Linked DNA regions of Lonchura striata. Each later gene encodes a partner of the first gene's protein in a complex. Links are inferred from orthologs where the notes say so. Each region holds a gene or a part of one and is shown on either strand. Other genes may lie near its edges.

Region 1 (7,590 bases):
AGCGGCGGCGGCGGCGGCGGACGAACGGCGCTGGCTCCTCCCTCCCCCGGCCCCGCCGCCCGCCCGCTCCGCTCCGCCGCGGCCGCAGCCCCCTCCGCCGGCCGCAGCCGCTCCCTGCACCCGCCGCGCCCGGCCCCGCGTGGGGACCCACGGGGGAGCGGCGGGGTCCGGGCGGACCGCGGGAGGGTGACACCGGGGTGGGCAGAGAGGCACACGGGGATCACGGGGTGGGGATGGTGGCCGTGGCAGGGTGCGTGGTGGCAGCCCTGACGGTGCCCACGGGGATGTGGTGACAGCGACAACGAGGACGGGGGGTGGTGAGCACAGGGTGGGGGGCTGTGTGCAGGGGGGGCTAGGGGAAGTGGCCACGGGGGTTGGGGACGGCACCCACGGGGAGGTGGGGACAGTGCCCACGGGAGTTTGGGGCCCCGGGATCCTGGGGCGGTGCTCGTGGTGGGGTGAAGCTGGTGCCCACAGGAGTTTGGGACGGTGCTCACGGGGATGTCGTGACAGTGACAACAGGGACGGGGGATGGCGACCACCGCGTGGCGGGCTGTACCGAAGGGGGACCGGAGACGGTGCCCAGGGAGGCCCAGGGGGATGCCCGTGGCAGGGCGGGGATGGTACCCACAGGCACTGGGAACAGCACCCACGGGGATGCTGTGACAGTGACAACCTGGTGTCCACGAGGGCAGGGCACGGCACCCGCAGGGAGCTGGGGACGGTGCCCACGGCGATGCTGTGATAGTGACAGTGACCCTACAGGATTTGGGGACAGCACCCAGGAAGGGCTGGGACGGTGCCCTCGCTGGGTGGCGGTGGGGTGGAGATGATGCTCAAGGAGATCTGGGACAGTCCCCATGGGGCTTGGTGACAGTGCCCACGAGGCAAGGGGCAGCTCCACACCCCGGATGCCCAGCCCGGCCCGGGGAGGGGCACACACCAGACACGGGGGTCCCCCTCAGATCCACACCGCCCCGGGCAGGAGACAATCCCGCAGGACACCCGCACGTCGGGGGGCCCTGCCCCTGCGCCCCCCGGGGGATGTGTGGGACGGGGAACAACGGGGGTCGTACCCCGCTGTGGGGCCGGACCCGGAGCCGCCGTGGGGCTGGGGATGGCGGCGGCACCGGGAGCCCGGGGGGGATCACTGGGGAGGGCGCTGAGGGTCGCCCACCGACCCGGCCGTGCCACCCCACCCCCTTCCCAGCAGCCCGTGCTCCCAGCCCCCCCTTTTCCTCCCCGGACTACACGTCCCGTCATGCCCGGGCTTAAAGCGGCTCTGCCGCCCCCCTCATCCCCGCCCGGAGCCCCGCAGCTCGGCCCTGGGACCCCCGGGGGGTTCAGTCTGGCCGCCCCCCACCCCCCAGCCCCCTGGGTACCCCCCTCCCTGGGCTGCACGGGCGGTGCGGTGATACCCAGGGGATGAGGGGGATGGGGGTCTCCCGGGCATGAAGGCTTCTAGGAGAGGAGGGTCTCCAAGGGATGAAGGTTTCCTTGGGAGGGGTGTACCCAGGGGATGGTTTCCCACACTTGGGGAGCGCAGGCAACACCCAGGGAAGGTGAGGGGGGGGTCCCCACGGGCCAGCGGCTGTCAGGGCACGGTGCTGCTCAGAATGGGGACAACAAGGGGGCAGTGCTACCCGGGGATCTCCAGGGGATGGTGGTCCCCAGGTAATGCGAGTCCCCAGGGGAAGGTGGTCGCCAGGGGATGGGGGTACCCAGCGGATGGAGGAGAGCGACACCTGGGACTGCCACAGAACCCATGGACCTCCTGCTGCCCCCGGTCCCCACAGGCCGGTGGTCCCCATAGCCCCCATCGATCCCCTGGCCCCCCGGGTCACCCTGGGGCCCTCATCCGCACGGCTGGCGGTCCCAGCGTGGCGGGGCAGCAGCAGCGTGACGGCCCCCCCGTCCCTCCCCGCCTGTTCCGTACACTTTATCCTCAGCAAACACGGCTCGGCCACGGCCCCCCGCAGCCGTCTGCCCGCGATAAGGCTGTGGCTGAGCTCGCCTGCCCCCAGCCTATGGGGCTCAGCCATCTCAACACCACCTCATGTCCCCAGATCCCCCTGCTTGAGGTTGCCTGACAGCCTCTATCCCATTGGGGAAACTGAGGCAGAGCTGGAGTTTGCCTGTGGCCTCTCTGGAGCACACAGACAGGCGCTTCTCGCGCTCATCACCAGCTCCCCGTCCCCACTGAGGTTCCCCCAGTGCCACCACAGGTCTCTGCACTGCCCCAGTAGAGTGGGGACCTTGTGCCCTGTGGCAGACCCTGATCTGAGGGGATTTGGGATTTAGAGGGGCTGTGCTGCTCTAGTTGGCTGGAACACGCTCATTAAAGTTCACCCCGCTGCTCTGTGGCAGAAACACTAAATATAGCCCCAAGTCACCAGTGGTGCCCCCCAGGACCCCCAAGAAGGTGATGACACCAGGCACCTCCATCCCCAGCACTGGCTACCCCCATGGGGCAGCACCCACCACCAACTGGGGGGTCCGGACGGCCCCATGGGGGTGTCCCTCTATCCCGGATCAGATCCTTCACACCCCACCAAACACCAGTCAGCAGCCATGTGCCCCCCGGCAGGACGCGGCACCAGAGCTCCCAGCCACCCCACTGACCCCGTGGGAAGGGGAAGCCCCTCACGCTGGCCCCCGCTCGCCCCTCGCTTGCCCCCGGCGCTGGGAACGGCCCCAGCCCCTTCCGGCCCCCCCGGCCCCGGGCCGGAGGCAGCTGTGCCGGGGCTCCCTGCCAAGGCGCCGAGGCTTCGACGCCTTCCCCCCAGCCGGCCGCCCCCGCGGCACCCCGGGGAGCTGCGACCCCCCGAGCACCCCCTGCCACCCCCGACCCTGCCAGCACCACCACCACCACCCCTGCCCCGGAGTTTGGGGGTGCTGTGCCGGGGTTGGGGGGGTCCAGCAGGGCTCCTCAGAGCCCCTCCTGCCTGGAGACCCCCGTGGTGTCTGTTCCACGGCCAGCTGTGGGAAGCGACCCCCCCCTTGCACAGGAAATCCCTCCTCATGGATAGGGCTCCCCCCCGGCGGGACCCCCCCGCTGCCGGGGTGTCCCCCCCGCCGCCGGGGCCCCTCGCCGCCCGGGCAGCCGCTGGCCCGCTTAATCCCGGCCCCGGCACGGGGGGATTTGCTGCGCCCCGGCCCCATGAATGATTAACCGGGGAATTAAGGGGCCGCGAAACCCCCCCGGAGCAGCGCGGAGGGGGGGGGGGGTGTGACTGAGCTCCCACCCCAGCCCCCCTGGAGGTCTTCACCCTGCTCCTGAGCCTTGGGGGTTCCCTTGGGGAATTCTGGGGGTACTGAGGGTTTTGGGGGGGCTGGGAGTGTTCTAGGGGTGCAGAGGCCTGGGGGTGTTTGGGTTGCAGGAGGGGTGCTGGGGGGCTATTGGGGGCATTCTGGGAGGGTTGGTGCGCTGGGAGTACTGGGGGGGGCTGTCAGTTCTGGGGGGCTGCCCCCCAGCCTTGCTCCCCATCCTCCCGTTGCCATGGCGACGGCTGGCACCATCCCTGGGGATATTTTTAGCTGCTGGTACTGCAGGGAGGGGGTGGGGGGCAGCCCAGGCCCATGGCGGCGCCACGTGTGTGCACACACGTGTCTGCAGCACACGGCCTTGCACACGCGTGTGTGCCCACCCCTGCGCTGGTACCTGTGCGTGCACACCCGCCCGGGGGTGCTGGTGTCTGCGCGTGTGTGCAACAACACACACAGACACACACCGCACACACTCATGTGCATCCACACGTGTGAACACACCCGCCTGTGTCACACGCAGTCCTCAGTGCACGCCTGTGGTTGCACACGCACGCGGGCACACCTCTGTGCTCACACACTGGTGTGCACACCTGTGCTCATGTGTGTGCGTGTGTGAACATCTGTACATCTGTGTGTACACACGTGCACACACACTGTCCTGTGTGCACACCTGCACAAACGCACAGAGAAACATGCTGGGAGATCCGTGCTGCCACCCCAGAGCCTTTGCACACTCACGCCTTTGCACCATTTTTGCACATCCCTTGTTTTTACACTTACCCCGTTTGTACATCCCCTGTTCTTACACTTACCCCGTTTGTACATCCCCTGTTCTTACACTCACCCTGTCTTTGCACAACTCCTCATTTTCACACGTATCCTTCCCCCCGTGTTTGTACCCCCCCACCTTTCCACACCCCTGCTATTTGCACACCCGCCCCTATTTGCCCACTCCCGTGTTTTCAACCCCCCATTCTCACCCCGTGTTTGCACACACACCCTATTTGCACACTCACCTCTGGTGTTTGCATGTCAAATCCCATTTCCCGATTTTCACACTCACCCCATGTTTCCACACACACACCCCGTGTTAGCCCACCCTCCCCCGTTTGCTCACCCACACGGTGTTTGCACTCTCACCTCGGCGTTTGCACACTCGCCCCCCGTTCCCACCCACCCTTTGCACACTCACTCCCGCCCCCGCCCGCCCTAGCCCCCCGAACTACCACTCCCATCACCCCCTGCGCCCGCCGCGCCCCGCCGCCCAATCAGCGTGCGGCTTGTTGGCAGGCGCCGCAATGGCGGTGCCCAAGCGCTGAGGGCGGCGCCGGGCCGCGCTGAGGGGCGGCGGGACCCGGCGGGACCCCCGGGCACCGAACTTCGGGGGCTCCGAGGGGTTCCGGGGCTGCTCCGAGGGGCTCCTCAGGGCCGGGGAGCGGGCAGACCCCCAGCTGCTGCCCTCCGAAGCCGCTGGGCCGCTTCCCCGCTCTGTCCGGCCCTGCCCGGCCGGGTCAGGGCTCCGTCCCCCTTCGCCTTGAGCTGTCGGGCCGCGGGGTGACCATGAAGGTGGTGAACCTGAAGCAGGCCATCCTGCAGGCCTGGAAGGAGCGCTGGAGCGACTATCAATGGGCCATAAACATGAAGCGGTTCTTCCCCCGCGGAGCCACCTGGGACATCCTCAACTTGGCAGGTCGGGGGGAGGCGGGGGGTTCCCCCTCCTTACTGGGCACACTGGGATGTTTTGGGGGTCCTCACGCGTTTATTTGGGTGTTGTCCCCAGTGTTCCCCTCTTTGGGGTGCAGGCAGGGGTATTATGGGGTCCCTTGTCGCATTTTGGGTCCCCACTTCCCACACCACTTTTCACGCCAAAATTCCCATTCCCAACCATGTCAGTCCATTCCCAACTGTCCCCCCCCACCCCGCTGTCCCCGTTTTGGGATCATTCCCTCCTTTTCCCCCATGGGAGGGTTCAGGGGTCAGCACAGCGTAGCTTTTGGGACCGAGAGAAACAGCTTTGAGTTGAGCCAGGAGAGAATTATGTTGGAAATTAGGAGAAATTTCTTCACTGAAAGGGTGGTTAGGCGTTGGAACAGGCTGTGGTGGAGTTGCCATGTGGATGTGGCTCCAGGGCACTTGGGTTATGGTGAGATGCTCTTGGAGGTCTTTCCAGCCTTAATGATTCCCCGATTTCGTGATTCGAGCACTGCACAGGAGCCAGGTGCTGCTCCCAAGGCTGCTTCCCAGCCCAATTCAAGGGCATTTCACAGAAATCCTGCCAAAAGCTAGGACTGGTTTAAAGATTTGCCAGGCTCTCTTGCTAATTATAGAAACTTGGTGCTGGGATTTTCCCTGTGCAGCAAGTCCCGGGATAAATAAACAGAGCTGCTGCTCCAGGGAGTTTAAAGGAACCAGCCCCACACAGGCAGCAGCTCTCACTCCTCTGAGTGTGGGGAACTTTCCCCTGTGCATGTTTTTCCCTTCTCTTCATCCTCTCATTGGATTTTCTGTCAGTGTCTGTTTTTTGTCACTGCTGAGCTGTCCCTGCTGGGTTTGTCAGCTCTGAGGTGCGGCTGGAGGGGCCAAATGGAGCTGTGGCCGTGGGGGGATGGATTTGCTCTGCATGGATTTGCTGGGGGTGGGGGTGGTTGGCTTGAGGGCCAGTCCTGCTGCTGCCCAGCTGGTCCCTGAGGCTCCCAGGTGTCTGTTCCCACCCTGGTGGCACTGGCTCCTGCTCCTCTGGCAGTGAGGCCTGCGGGGTACTTGGCTTGGGCTCGTCTGTGTATCCCCAAAAACAGACGCAGGGAGGATAATTCCCTATTATTTCTGCAGGAATGGGTTTCTCCTGGCTCACATTTACCCAAGGCTCAGTGGCTTCTTTGGAGCAGGAGGAGAAGGAGCTGTATCCCCTTTTCCTTTTGGGAGCCACGCGGGCAGGGTGCTGGCCGTGACCCTGGGTATTGTGTGCACACAGGGAGAGCCCATTCCCGAGGTCCCAATGGCTGGACCAGCAGCTCCCTTCCTCACCACAGCCCCCAGAGCTGTCCTTTCCCGAGCTCGTGCCCCTTTCAGCTTGGAAGTACAAAGGAGGGAAAGCTGGCACGAGCTGCCAGGATCACGGCAGGGCCTGGCAGATCGCTGCTGACACGTCTGCAGCAGGGAGCAGCATGTGGCTGGCTCGTGGTGGCACTCTGGGATGGGCTGGGGAGGGGACGGCTGCCACCAGCCTTCTGTCCTCATCCCAGACGCTCTTGGCCCAGGATTCAGCCTTGGAGCGAGACCCAGGGAGTCTCCTTCTCCTGCACTCGGGATCCGGTGGTGGCTTCTCCTCCTCGGCTTTGGGGTGACAACTTCCCACCCGGCTGCTGCTCCCCCTTTCACATCTGGGTGCTCTGACCTACTTGCAGCCTGTGCTGCAGCCCGGGGCCTGCTCGGGGTGGTGCTTCCTGCACTCTGCCATGGCTCAAATGGACAATTAAAGGCTTGGCTGAGCAGATGGGACGGGCAGAGCCCCTCAGGCCACCGAGGGCCAGACGGGCAGGGCTGCGCCCAGTGCAGGGGACTGGTGGCCCCAAGCTCAGCCCCAGGTGCCTGGGCAAAAGACACTCAGTGGAGGCTGCAGGAGCCTCCTGGCAAGAACTGGGAGGGAGGGGAATGTGGAGAGCAGCAGCAGAAATTTCAGGGCTGGAGCGCTGAAGAGCTGTGTTAGCAGGAGGCTGCGAGCTCTGCCTGAATTATTCACTGGCTTGTGCCCGTCAGGGATTAGGAAGTTGTGGGATTCAATGAATTTAGGAGAAAAACTGGTGTGGAGTCACTGTGGTTGGTACAGTTGGACTTTGCCAGCTTCCCTGTGGAATGAGGGGAGAGCAGATTGTGTCCGTGTGTTCCCCATGTGCTGACCTGGGACCCTCTTTCCTTGCAGAGGCTCTCCTGGAGCAGGCCATGATTGGGCCATCCCCAAACCCACTCATCTTATCCTACCTGAAATACGCCATCAGCTCCCAGGTAAGGACCTGCTGGTGCTGCTGCTCACCTTGCAGCCTCGGTGAGGTTGGGCAAAGCAACTGGGGTGTTGGTGGTGGGCAGGCACCCCACATCTCCCATGTGAGCCTCTCCTGGGCTGGGCAGATACCCCAAACCGCCATCTGAGCCTCTCTGGGGCTGGGGCAGGCAGTGGAGGGCTCAGCGCGTGCCCTGGGCAGGGATGTTTCCATAAATAGCCTCTGCCATCGCCCAGGGTGGGAATTCTGCCCCCCGAGAGGCTCTGCGCTCGCTGTGAGCGCCACGCTTTCACATCCTGGCATTTAATATCGCCTAAAGTTTGTG
Region 2 (6,241 bases), on another chromosome or scaffold:
TGGGGCTTGTTTGGCAAAATCAAACCACCTGTCTAGAATCAAATTTCTAGAATTGCTGTAACTTCAGTGTTGTACTTTCACCATTGATAATGGTGAAATAATTCCCAAATCTTTTAAAACCCTAGAATTAAAAAAGAACATATGAAACAGTGTGTTTGACTCTGGTACCACTTTGCTTCTCTCTTCACCTCCTTTCTCCTCTGTGTGCTGAATCTATTTTACCCTGTAAGACACCAGTCCCCTTCTGCTGCCTGGTGTGGAAGTTTCAGCACTGTGAGGCTTGCAAGCACTGCAGCCCCAGCTGCTTCTAGCCACACAGTTGTTGCCCACTTGGATTTCCCCAGCTGCTGCGAGGTGCTGTCAGTGAACTGAGCACTACTGAACCTTCCTGATGGAGGGAGCAGCTCCAGCACAGGGATGCACACCACACGCACCCTGACGTGGCTGTGGTACCAGAAGCCTGGTACAGCAGGTGCTGGCCTGGGGGGATGTGGCTCTGCCAGGCTCCAGCACAGGCATTCCTAGGCAGGCACAACGATTCCTGGACAAGAGTGCTGTGGGACACCAGTTCCTTTCTCAGAGTGTACAAGTCCACTGGGTGTGTCAGTGCACAGACCCTGGACAATTTTTGTGCTTGATGTGAACCTTGCTCATATGGTGAATACCGTATGAAAAAATACCATATGAGCCCTGGGACAAGCTGTAGTAGAGGGCCTGTCTTACTCCTTCCAGCTGCCTTTTGGGGTGCAGTGAGAGCTCTGGCTACTATTCAGAGTGTTTTTCAGATCTGTGATCCTCTCCCATCTCCTTTAGGACATGGCTTACCATTTTCAAGGTCATATCTTCTTTCTCCTTTGGCTTTGGTTAGGGAAGGTTTATATTGCAGGTTTATACCTGCTGAAAAAAGACGATGGTTTGGGATCCTGTCTTGCCTCAGGGCAAGTTCATGTTCTTGTCAGGTCCACCTTGCCCTGCAGAGTGGTGACACTGCATCCAGTGACCCCCCTAGCACTGACAGTTCCATACTTTGTCATCCTGCCTGGGGATGACTGCTGCCCCAGGCTCACCTTGCTTACACCCTGTGGAATGGGGGAGGCCTGCTTCCAAAGCTGACCTCACTTCAGTGCTCCAAGGCTTTTGTATTACATAACACAAAACTACTTAGCATCCTATCTTAACCACCAGCTTTACTTCAGTCTGCTCTTAAGCAAAGCTTTAGCCCCAGGTTGCTCCCATTCCATTCCCACTAGGATTCAGGCCTTCTAGACAAATATGGTAGGTAGGTAAACAACCTTATTGTTGTTTGCCCCCACTCACGTAGGACAGGAAAGAGTAAAGGCAAAAATGAGAAGACATAGATTCAGATGGAGACTGCTTAGGAGGTAAAGTGAAGCCACACCCAGAAAGCAAAATAAAGAATTTATTCACAATTCCCTATCAGCAAGAAGAGCTTTGGCACACTAATAGTTATTTGGGAAAACAAATGCCATAACCATGAATGTCCCCACTTTCTCATCTTCTTCCCAGAGCTTTTGGTGCTGGGCAGAATGCAGTCTGGTATGGAATATTGGTGTGGTCAGCTGGGATCAGATGTGACTCCCTTTGTTCCTTCAGAGCCTCTTACTTGCCTCTAGCCTACTCACTGGCAGTGAATGCAGGAGAAAAAGGACAAAAATAAAACCTTGATGCTGGCAACCCCTCCTCAGCAACAGCTAAAGTACTGCTGTGTAACCAATGTTCTTAGTCACAAATCCAGAACACAGCCTCATACAGGCTGCTATGGAGACAACTACTTTCATCCCAGCCACAGCCTGTATAAAAATAGAAAATCTGGATCTTGGCACCAATACCCACAAGAAGTGAGATCCACAACAGCCAAGTAAACATCAGCTCTTAGCATCAGAGAAGAATATGGGTTGGAAGGGACTTAAAAGAGCATTAATTTCCAACCCCCCTACTGCTGGCAGGCACACCTTCACTACACCAGAGAATTGCAGAATTGTTTAAGTTGGAAGAGAATTTTAGAATCATTGAGTCCAACTCTAAACCTAACATTACCAAGTCCACAGGCTAAAAAAGGCATCAGCCTGATGTACCTGACATGTTCCTTCCTGACACCCTTCCTGTTGTGTGGTCTGATGACACTCAGTGAAACAGACCTGATGCAGTTTTCTTCCTCTCCTGGAGGCCTCTCCCATGGACACAGTGCACCAGACAGAACCTGAGTGTCAACAGAAGCCAGTCATGTTTCCTTTCTCCTCCTTGCAGCTTTCCTTTCCTTTGTCCTCCAGCTCATACCAGGCAGCAGTTGCAGAATGGAAAAAAATCACCTCTTTCTTTATCCTTCACCAGAAACATAAGGTCAGGTTGCTCAAAGCCCCATCTAACCTGACCTTGAACACTTCCAGTCATGGTCCAGCCATAACTTCCAAGTTCCAGCATCTCAGCACCCTCACAAGAAATAATTTCTTCCTTACTCAGTTTATCCTCCTGGAGGAGAATTCTACAAGGTCAGTCCACACTTTCACAAGCTGGAACGTCAGGATAAAATTAACCATGACTGCACTGGGAGGGCATGACTATGCCATTTCTCATTTGCAGGTCTTTGGCTTGTACCAGTATTTATATAATTTTTATGGGGGGTGTCAGGGGATACCACCACTGTGTAGATACTGATACATGAAAAATGGACATACTGTTCACATTCTGTGTGGCACAAAGGTTTGTTACACAAAAGACTGCTAAGGGAAATGTCACATTTATAACTCTGTTTTGGGTATTGACAGGAGTAATTTCAGCTGGTACATACTGGGCATTTCCATCACTTTCTGAAAACGGGCTTTTCTGCATAGAAATGGTGTACATCCTACCAGGCCCAGATGAGATTTCTGCCTTCTGCTGCAGGAGCTGAAGCCTGGCCCACAACACCCCAGAGCATCAGACACTTTGCTGTCGCTGTGAGACAGATTGGATCATTTTTGGTGGATATTTTCCACAGAATTAATTGCATGTGCCACCCTGGGGAGTGATGTGGGTGCAGCCACAATGACCCCTGATGGCTGGTCCTGCCTGCTGGCCTCCCAACCCTCCTGCTGTGCCACCGGCGCCGAGGTCAGGCTGGCAGCAAGCCCTTTGAGATTTGGGGCCCTCAAGATTTGAGGTCTCAAGATTTGAACCAAACTTTGCAATTTTTTTTTTTCCAGTTGTTAATCAGAAGCTGTAGCTGAACAGTTATGATTAAGCAATCGCACTGTGAATGTTGCATACTTGGCTCGTCTTTTGCTTTGAGGAAAAGAGAAGAGAATCCCAAGATGCAGGGACTCTCTGGATGAGATCTGCCAGGAGTGAAGTCAGGATGCCAGGAGCTGACTGAGGGAAGGCAATTCCACCACACCCTGACCCAAGGGAGGCAAAACCACGCCTGCAGACCAAAAGGGCTCTTCTCATGGAGAAGCAAGACACACAACTAGAAAATAGGGTTTGAGTGCTAATTAGGAGAAAAGTGGTATAACTTACAGCTAACAAATGCTGACACCTTGGTTTGTTAAAAGGTATAAATAGTGTAGAGGTTTGATGATCACAGAGCCAGCCTTTCGTGGGTTACCTCCTGATTCCCGGCTTTGGGCAAACTAGAATAAAAGAAAAAACACGGCATCACAGAATCGTTAAGGCTGGACGGGACTTTTGCAGATCATCCAGTCCAGCCCCCTTGCTGAGGCAGGGTCACGCAGAGCAGCTGACACAGGAACACATCCAGGTAGGTGTTGAATGGCTCCAGAGAGGGACACTCCACAACCTCCCTGGCAGCCTGCTCCAGCGCTCGGCCCCCGGGCGGTGTGAGGAGAGCGGGGCGGTGTGAGCGGAGCGGGGCGGGGCGGTGTGAGCGGAGCGGGGCGGTGTGAGCGGAGCGGGGCGGGGCGGGGCGGTGTGAGCGGAGCGGGGCGGTGTGAGGGGAGCGGGGCGGTGTGAGGGGAGCGGGGCGGTGTGAGCGGAGCGGGGCGGTGTGAGCGGAGCGGGGCGGTGTGAGCGGAGCGGGGCGGGGCGGGGCGGTGTGAGCGGAGCGGGGCGGTGTGAGCGGAGCGGGGCGGGGCGGGGCGGTGTGAGCGGAGCGGGGCGGTGTGAGGGGAGCGGGGCGGTGTGAGGGGAGCGGGGCGGTGTGAGCGGAGCGGGGCGGTGTGAGCGGAGCGGGGCGGTGTGAGGGGAGCGGGGCGGTGTGAGGGGAGCGGGGCGGTGTGAGCGGAGCCGGGCGGTGTGAGGGGAGCGGGGCGGTGTGAGCGGAGCGGGGCGGTGTGAGCGGAGCGGGGCGGTGTGAGGGGAGCGGGGCGGGGCGGTGTGAGCGGAGCGGGGCGGTGTGAGCGGAGCGGGGCGGTGTGAGCGGAGCGGGGCGGTGTGAGGGGAGCGGGGCGGTGTGAGGGGAGCGGGGCGGGGCGGGGCGGTGTGAGCGGGGCGGGGCGGTGTGAGGGGAGCGGGGCGGTGTGAGCGGAGCGGAGCGGGGCGGTGTGAGCGGAGCGGGGCGGGCGGTGTGAGGGGAGCGGAGCGGGGCGGTGTGAGCGGGGCGGGGCGGTGTGAGCGGAGCGGGGCCGGGCGGTGTGAGGGGAGCGGAGCGGGGCGGTGTGAGCGGAGCGGGGCGGTGTGAGGGGAGCGGGGCGGGGCGGTGTGAGCGGAGCGGGGCGGGCCGGCGCCGCCCCCGCCCGCCGGGCCGTTAGGGGGCGCTGCCGCCGCTCTGCGCGGCGCTGCCGGCGGGGCCGCGGGGCCGGAGCGCAGCGCGATGGAGGCGCCGCCGGTGACCATGATGCCCGTCACGGGCGGCACCATCAACATGATGGAGTACCTGCTCCAAGGTAGGCGCGGCGGGACCAAGCAGCGGGTGGGGGGCTGGCGCCGCGCACGGGCGGGCCGGAAGGCGCTGGGGCGGGCGCGCCGCGTGCGGAGCCCAGCTCGGCCCGTGCGAGGCGACGGTCGCGGCGCTGTCTCCGCAGGGAGCGTGCTGGACCAGAGCCTGGAGAGCCTCCTGCACCGGCTGCGCGGGCTGTGCGACAACATGGAGCCCGAGACCTTCCTGGACCACGAGATGGTGTTCCTGCTGAAGGGGCAGCAGGCCAGCCCCTTCGTGCTGCGCGCCCGGCGCTCCATGGACAAGAGCGGGATGCCCTGGCACCTGCGCTACCTGGGACAGCCCGAAATAGGCGACAAGAACCGCCACGCGCTGGTGCGAAACTGCGTGGACATCGCCACCTCCGACAACCTGACGGACTTCCTGGTGGAGATGGGCTTCCGCATGGACCACGAGTTCGTGGCCAAAGGGCACGTATTCCGCAAGGGCATCATGAAGATCATGGTGTACAAGATCTTCCGTATACTGATGCCAGGAAACACAGAGAGCATCGAGCCGCTCTCCCTCTCCTACTTGGTGGAGCTCAATGTCGTTGCGCCAGCAGGGCAGGACATTGTTTCTGATGACATGAGGAACTTTGCTGAGCAGCTGAAGCCTCTAGTACACCTGGAGAAAATTGACCCCAAAAGACTAATGTGATTGACAGTCTGGGGCATTAAGGCACTGGTTTTGTGTTTCAGAAAATGATGTTTTTCTAAAAAGCGTTTTGTGGGCAAATCAAAACAGGGAGAAGGGAATAAAGTACTATGTATCAGTTTTGGCAGCTGCAATTCCTGAGTGTTTTTTTCTTTCACTTGTGAATATGAGCAGAAGTGGACACTTCAAATTAGCACTGTTAAAAAAATCAGTAAATGTTAATACCCATAGTGTTCTTTCTTTTGCATGGGAGATAACTTTAAAAGCCTATTGCCTAACAGTCTAAAAATGTCAGACTTACTGGAATTCATCCCTCCGTGTACTCAGATCCCACTGCTGTCTTAAGATTTTTAAAGCACAATTTGTGTATCCTACTTAGTCATCCAAAACTTTTCAGTAATAGAGGAAGTTAATACTGTTTAATGCAGGAGATGCTGTTTCACACAAGCATAAACACAGAAACTGCTGCATAAAAGGGCAGCTAACTGTACACCTCTTCACCAAAGCTTATGTGACAGGAACAGGTACTTGTTAGGGAAACTGTTTCTTATGATGTAACCGAAGTTAGAAGTAGAAGAAAATCTAGTAATATTAACATTTGCAAGTGGTTTTTCCCATCTTTTAATGGTCTTCCATTATTTTCATTGGAATTGGTTAGGATAATCCTAATTAATGAGGAAGTAAATTACCAGGTACTTTTTATTACTGGAT
Region 3 (6,991 bases), on another chromosome or scaffold:
GCAGCTCGACCGCTCCTGCCTGCATTCCACTCAGGAAGTCTCCACCGTGGGGGCACCTGACTCAGCTGAGCCTGGCAGTGCCAGCTCTGCGGTGTCCCCCCAGAGGCAGCCACACTCTCTGGGGCACTCACACCCCAGCCCCATCGGGCGGATGAGGCTGCGGAAGGTGCAGCACTGGGGGCACTGGGAGGTGGTGCAGGAGGCCGTGCCTCCGGCAGTGATGGTGGGGGATGTGGGGGTGACAGAAGCACAGCCCCCCCAGAATGTGGATGCACGGGAGCAGGTGAGCAAGTGCTCCCCAACCCAGCAGTCCCCCAGTGAAAATGGGATGCAGCAGCATGGGGACTCCCCTGTGTCCTCGCAGGGCTGCCAGCAGGCAGTGCTCCCAGGAACTCCTGGAAGTGACACCAAGGAGGAAGAGGTGGATGTGGGAACAGGGGAACTATTCCTGCCCCCTGGCACAGTGTGCCTCTGGCCCAGTCCCTCATCTGAGTCAGAAGAGGAGGTGGATGTCCTCACCTAGAGGGGGCTGGCTCTGCCTCTCCCCCCACCAGTGCCTGTACCCCTTGGGCTGCATGTCCTTGGAATAAAGGGCTGAAGCTGTGCTGTGGAGTACTAAACTTTATTGGAGATTGGGGGGACAACGGGGTGTGGAGGGAGCCAGGGGTCTGGCAGTGGCAGAGCTGCAACATCAGGGACGGGACTGGGGCAGGTGGATGCCCCCACTTGGTCTCGCCTCTTCATGGACGCTCATGCCGTCTGTGCCGATCCTGGCTTGGCTGTGGAGAGAGGGAAGTCGGTCCCTGTTGGTCCCATCCCTGCCCTATCCCATCCCAGTCCCATCCCCGCTCACCTGGCCAACACCTCTATGCCAAGCTGCTCTTCAGGGCTTCCACTACTGTCTCCGGCTGGGGAAACTTCAGCTTGCGGGGGGGCCCCTTCCCGATACCGCTCCACAGCTCCACGGCTGCAGAGGTAAGGGAGATTATGGGATCAAGGGTGCCGGGGAGCCCCCCGCCCCCCTGCCCAGCACTTACTGCTGCCGTCCTCCTTCACCAGGGACACCTCGAAGCTGTTCCTGCGCGGCGGCCGGGGGTTGATGTCCACGGGGAGGTGCGCCATGGCCCCGCGCAGGGCCGCGCTCACCGCCGCCGCGTTCCGCCCGAACACGCGTCAGCTCTTGCTGCGGGGACACGGCGGTCAGCGACCCCGGGGCACCCAGGGGCCTCACACCGCCCTCGGCGCCTCGGCCGCTCACCAGTGCTCGATGACGACACGGGGGCCGATGTCCCCGGGGCTGCACTCGTCTTGGGCTTGGGCCTGGGCCCGCGCCCGCTTCTGCGGAGCTCCCGCTGTCTCCGGTGCCTCGGCCGCCGCCGGCTGCTGGGCTCCGCGCTTCCTCCCGCGGGGAGCCATCCTGGGACAGCCGAGGCGGTGGAGCCTACGCCGGCTGCAGGAATGCCACTCCGGGGTGAGAAGGGAGCTCAGGTACCACGCTGTCCGGGGAGTGAAAAGTGGGTCCCTGTGGGGACACTACTGTGGGAGAGGGCCCGGATGGGCCAGTCCCCGGCGATGCGCCACGGGGGAAATGAGGGCCCCCGCCGGGATCCCGCTGCGGAGGGCGGGAGGCGGCTCCGCAGGGATCCCGCCGCGGTGTGCGGCTGGGGGGAGCAGGGCGGCGGGGCCCGGGGCAGCAGCGGCGCTCCTACCGGCCGCTGGCCACGTGCGGGAGCGCGCGCCGCCGGGGCGGGGCCGGAACGGGCGGGGCCGAGGAGGGCACCGGAGCCTCCGGTGGGCTCCGGTTCCGCCCGCGCCGCGCCGGCCAATCAGAGCGCGCCGGCTCCGCACGGCCCCGCCCCCATGCGCGGGCCCGGGCCGGGGACACGGACACGGACACGGACACGGGTCACGGGACACGGCACGGACCGTTTATTGTCAGCGATGGATGATGAGCGAGCGTTAACCGAGGCGGGGCCCCTCCTACCGCCCTGCCCGCACGGGGCCGGGGGGCACCGCCGCTTTCCCGGGGCTCAGCCGGGACAAGTCCGCACGGAGAGCGGCTCCGGGCGGGGCTGGGCAGGCCCGCGGGGCCGCTGCCACCAGGCTGATGGTGACATAGTGATGGGCGACAGTACAGGGCAGCTTCTACTTGTCCTTCTTGGTCTCCTGAGCTGCAGCGGGCACGGCTGGGGGCTCCTCAGGTCCCTCCTCCCGCGGCTTCGACTGCTTCTTGGCCTTCTGGTAGAGCTCGTTGAGGTTGAACTCCCGGATCACATTCTCCTGTGGCCAGGAGGTAGCATCAGCACCACTGGGACCTCGTGCTCCCCCCTTCTTCCCAGGCACAGGCTGGACAGAACAGAGGGCTGCAGGGTCCCACCCACCTCAGAGAAGGTCCAGGACACAGCCCGGCCCTTCTTGTCGATCTGCGGTCGCCGCATGATCTCTGTCCCACCCTGGAAGAGGATGAGGGTGGGCAGCTGCTTGGTGAGAGGCGAGGTGCTGACCTTGTACCTGTGTCAGGACAAGCCCACAGTGACCCTCGGGCAGCTTGAGAGGGCAGGAGGGTCACAGGGACTACCCCAGAGCGAGCCTTGCTTGCCCAGGCTGCGTTCCCCACACCTGGTGCTGACGTCCGTGTACCGGCCAACATCCACCTTCCCAAACTGGAGTCCTGAGCAGTTGTACCTGGGCAGGATGGGGACACAGGGCAGTGAGGGACACAGGGGACCACAGGCCCCGTTACCCCCAAGATTCCAGTGGGTGCCACTCACTTGAGAGAGAGGTCGGCGAAGATGGGGGCAAAGGACTGGCACTCACTGGACCAGTTGGCAAAGAACTCAACAATCCACGTCACCCGCTTGTCCCTCTCCAACTCCTCCTGCCACAGGGGCATGGGCTTAGGGGGGCGAGGGCAGAGACCACCAAAAGCCCCAGGGCTGGGGAGATACTCACATCGATGGTCTTGTCACTGAAGTACTTGATGTATTCGGGGCCCATGTAAAGGGGTGGCTTGCAGGTCATCAGGAACACTGGAATGACAGCACCCTGAGCCCCCCAGTGCCAGGAGGGCCAGGCTGGGCCTGGGACAGAGCTCCTCCACCCCAGAGCAGTAAGGGGGAGCCAGGAGAAGGCGGATCTAGGGCAAGAAGACATGCAGGCTCACCTATGCAGAGAGTGAGGTAGAGCAGCCCCATGCGGATGTCAAGGCGGAAGAACAGGATGGCGTTGGCCACTTTGCTGAACATGAAAATATTCCCGATGTGCTGCTCCACGGTGACTGTGATGTGGAGACAGGAATAAGGCATGGGACCAGATGCCCCCAGAAGGCTGGGGGAAACTTCAGGGAGGGCTGGATCTGGTCCTCCAGACACCACCCCGTGCTCCTTGAAGGAGACCCCATAAGCAGCCCCAGCCCCCCAAGTCCCCCTGACTCACTGGAGCGCCGGTTCTTCATCATGACAATGGCGCTGAGGAACATGAGGATCTCCACCTCCCTCTGGCACAAAGAAGGGACAGCATGAGCTGGAAGTGCCCAGGACACCTTGAAGCCATGCCTGGCCTGGCACAGGGACCCGTGGCCGTGCCAGGCCCTACTGTTCCCAAGGCCCTGCCACAGCCCAGAGCCTTCATCCCCCCCGGGATGAGAACAGCGAGCAGAGGGGCTGCCCTGGGGCCACGAGCCGGACCAGAGCCTGGGGGTGCCTCTCGGCTGTAAGGGAACACCGCAGAGCATCGCCAGGGGCTACCGGGCAACTCCTCTCTCAGCCAGGCCGGGGTGCTGTGTGAGCAGGAGGGGAGCCAAGCCAGGGCCGGGGCTGTGGGGACAGGACCGGGGACAGCCCAGGGATGCGGGGACAGGCCCGGGGACAGGCCGCACCGCCTCACCCAGTCAAAGTCACAAGGGTTGCCATCCTCCCGCTGCGAGGGGAGCCCGCGGCAGAGCGGCGGGACCTTGCGCACAATCAGGAAAGCGGCGGCGAGCAGCGCGGAGAGCGGGTAGTAGGGCTGGGCGAGCCATCGGCAGAGCCCGGGCAGCCCCCAGAGCAGCGCCAGCAGCGGCGCCACCACCGCCATCTTCCCTCCGCCCCGCTCACTGCCGGGGGCGGGGCCTCCCGCGCCGGCCAATGGCGAGCGGCGAGGCGGGCGCTCCCGCGCGCGCGGACCAATGAGAGGAGAGAGGGGAGCGGCCAATCAGAAGGCTGGGATGGGTCTCCCTTAGCAACGGGGGGCAGGGGCGGTGTGGGGGCGGCGCTCGGCCAATGGCGGGGCGGGGCGGCCCGGCGCGGGGCACGCCGGGAACATGGAGAACTTCTCGGCGCTGTTCGGCGCGGCCGAGCCGCCGCCCGCCGCCGCCGCCGCGCTCGGATTCGGGCCCGCCAAGGCGCCGGGTGCCGGAACCGCGCCGCCGCCCGCTGCCTCGGCCGCCGCGCCGCCGCCGGGCGAAGACGCGGCCCGCAAGGCCGCCGGCGGCCCCTTCTACCTGCTGCGAGAGCTGCCAGGTGCGGGCGGGCCGCGGGGCGGGGCGGGTGCCGCGCTCGGCCAATCAGCGCGGCGAAACGCGGCCGCGGGGGAAACTGACGGCGCCAGGAGCCAATGAGGTTGCGGGGGCGGGGCCGCGCAACGCGCGGTCCGGTGGGGAAGTGGGCGGCGGGGGCGCCCCGGGGCCGGGGGTCCCGGTGCTCGGGGGCTGCAGGGGGTCCCGGAGCCTCGGCTCGGCTGGGGAGAGGGGCCTGGGCTGCCGTCGGGGCGTTTCCCCCGCGCCAAGTTTTCCTGCGGCCGCACAGGCACTACGGAGCTGACGGGCAGCACCAACTTGATCACACACTATAACCTGGAGCACGCCTACAACAAGTTCTGCGGCAAGAAGGTGAAGGAGAAGCTCAGTAACTTCCTCCCCGACCTGCCCGGCATGATCGACCTGCCCGGCTCCCACGACAGCAGCAGCCTGCGCTCGCTCATCGAGAAGCCGCCCATCTGCGGCAGCTCCTTCACGCCGCTCACGGGTGCCATGCTGACCGGTTTCCGCCTGCACGCCGGCCCGGTGAGCCCCGGGCTATGGAGCCGGAGGGGCGGGAGGGGCCCGGCGTGGTCTGACCAGTCCTTTTTCTCCACAGCTGCCCGAGCAGTGCCGGCTGATGCACATCCAGCCGCCTAAGAAGAAGAACAAGCACAAGCACAAACAGAGCCGCACGCAGGACCCCGTCCCCCCAGGTAAGGCTGCCACAGCCGCTCCCCTGCTCCCCTTCAGCACTGGCAGAGCATCGGCTCATCTGGCGCTTCTGCTTCTCCAGAAACCCCCTCAGACTCCGACCACAAGAAGAAAAAGAAGAAAAAAGAGGAGGATCCAGAGCGGAAGAGGAAGAAGAAAGAGAAGAAGAAAAAGAAGGTGAGTGGCAAGGCCGGGGTGCAGTGCCCAGCCCGTGGACCTCGGAGGGGCGCTGTGAGTTGCCATCCCCAAGGGGCTGCTGCCCAGCAGCTCTCACAGTTTCTGTCTGTCCTTCCTCTGCAGAACCGGCACAGCCCGGAGCACCCTGGGGTGGGCAGCTCCCAGGCCAGCAGCAGCTTACGGTGAAACCACGCCGGTGACGCCCTGGGGATCCCCTGGCCCATGGGAACAGCCCCGGCTGACCCCAGGGACACTGGGGCTGGCCTGTCCCCCCGGCTAAGAGGACACCCCTGCAGCCCCCCAGCACCAGGGGCACAGACTCTGTGGGTGCTGACCTTGAGCTTTTGTACCTGAAGAACCTGGAGCATCAAAGCCTCTTTTTTAGTCACCTTTTAAACTCTGCTGTGAGGAGGGGCTGGTGGCCATGGCTGCTGTGACCCTTAGCTGTCACAGTGGAGCCCCAAACAAAGGTGTCCCTGGAACGTGCAGGTGCCCTCCTTTGGATCCGAAACCTCACCAGCACCCACGATACTTTCCCTGGAGCCTCTTTTCCCATGCCTGGAAAATCCTTACCTTCTGTGGGAGCAGAGTTTGCCTCAAGTTGGAGCCCCCCCAGAACTGGGCCAGGCTCAGCTCTTACCAGACCCCCTTCTCTCTCTCCCTCGGGAGGGGGGGCAAGGCTGAAACCCTGAGGATCAGGAGCCTTGGAGGGGCTGCTCCATCCCTGGACACCAAACAAAGCACACGCACAGCCCCGGGGTGGCTCATTAAATATCCTTTTATTCCTTGTTTTTAAAATGGCTGATAATAATAAAAAACCCTGGCGTGGCTGTGTGGGGCCACGGGAGCTATTGCCGTAGAGAAAGAGTCCGGTAGTGCCGGCAGGGCTTTGGGGACAGGGAGCACAAGGCTCCTTGGCTGTGTTTTTTTGGCATGTGATGAGAAAATATTGCTTTCCGGGGATGCACCTGCCTCTTCCCCGAGCGAGCGGAAATAAAAACACCCCTGCGACAGCGAGAAACCTCCTCGGAATCATTAACAGAAACAAAAAAAGGCAACAAAACCAACAACCCCCCCGACCACAGCACCTGGGGAAAGAAAGAGCAAAAACTGCGGGTGGGGGACACTGGGGCTTCTGCACCAGCTTGGGATGGGGGTGTGGGGTGCTGTCCCCACCTTACCTCCACCCTGGGCCCCCCAGGGGGGCTGGAGGCTGTGGACACCATGGATCAGGGAGGGGAGTGTCCGAGGATGGGTATCTGGCACCCAATGGCCCCCTTCAGGGACGAACAGTGACACCCAGCACCTACCACAGCTCCTTCCATGGGTGCAGGAGGCAGCCCCACGTCCCTCCTTTGGGGACAGGGACAAGGTGGGGGGCCCAGGCCCTGAGCAGGGTAGTTTCTTCCTCTCTCTGGGTAAGATATATAATTTCTGCTTCTTTTTTTTTCTTTTAATATTTATATTTATATATATAGATATTTATATATACACACACCTGGTAACTCGGAAAGAGAAAAAAAATAGAATCCGTAACAATAATAATAAAAAAAAGTATTCTGGTTTAAAAACAATCCGTTCCTACCACGCCAGGCGAGCGGGTGA

The links.
Region 2: MED24 (region 1) and MED18 share a complex: the UniProt entries of both Homo sapiens proteins name them as parts of the mediator complex. The link is inferred for Lonchura striata from reciprocal best matches to the Homo sapiens genes MED24 and MED18.
Region 3: MED24 (region 1) and MED19 share a complex: the UniProt entries of both Homo sapiens proteins name them as parts of the mediator complex. The link is inferred for Lonchura striata from reciprocal best matches to the Homo sapiens genes MED24 and MED19.

The regions. Positions count from the first base shown.
Region 1 is NC_134627.1:7,031,604-7,039,193, forward strand, and holds the start of MED24 (mediator of RNA polymerase II transcription subunit 24), read left to right. Parts: upstream 1-4,562; 5' UTR 4,563-4,827; coding exon 4,828-4,957; intron 4,958-7,186; coding exon 7,187-7,269; intron 7,270-7,590. UniProt on the Homo sapiens protein: Component of the Mediator complex, a coactivator involved in the regulated transcription of nearly all RNA polymerase II-dependent genes.
Region 2 is NC_134642.1:13,964,518-13,970,758, reverse strand, and holds MED18 (mediator of RNA polymerase II transcription subunit 18), read left to right. Parts: upstream 1-4,727; 5' UTR 4,728-4,768; coding exon 4,769-4,841; intron 4,842-4,979; coding exon 4,980-5,533; 3' UTR 5,534-5,657; downstream 5,658-6,241. UniProt on the Homo sapiens protein: Component of the Mediator complex, a coactivator involved in the regulated transcription of nearly all RNA polymerase II-dependent genes.
Region 3 is NC_134608.1:53,111,241-53,118,231, forward strand, and holds MED19 (mediator of RNA polymerase II transcription subunit 19), read left to right. Parts: upstream 1-4,300; coding exon 4,301-4,499; intron 4,500-4,784; coding exon 4,785-5,041; intron 5,042-5,114; coding exon 5,115-5,211; intron 5,212-5,291; coding exon 5,292-5,386; intron 5,387-5,509; coding exon 5,510-5,572; 3' UTR 5,573-6,407; downstream 6,408-6,991. Other genes in the region: TMX2 (thioredoxin-related transmembrane protein 2), read right to left, coding at 2,146-2,280, 2,382-2,511, 2,620-2,685, 2,772-2,878, 2,953-3,029, 3,164-3,277, 3,436-3,496, 3,886-4,074. UniProt on the Homo sapiens protein: Component of the Mediator complex, a coactivator involved in the regulated transcription of nearly all RNA polymerase II-dependent genes.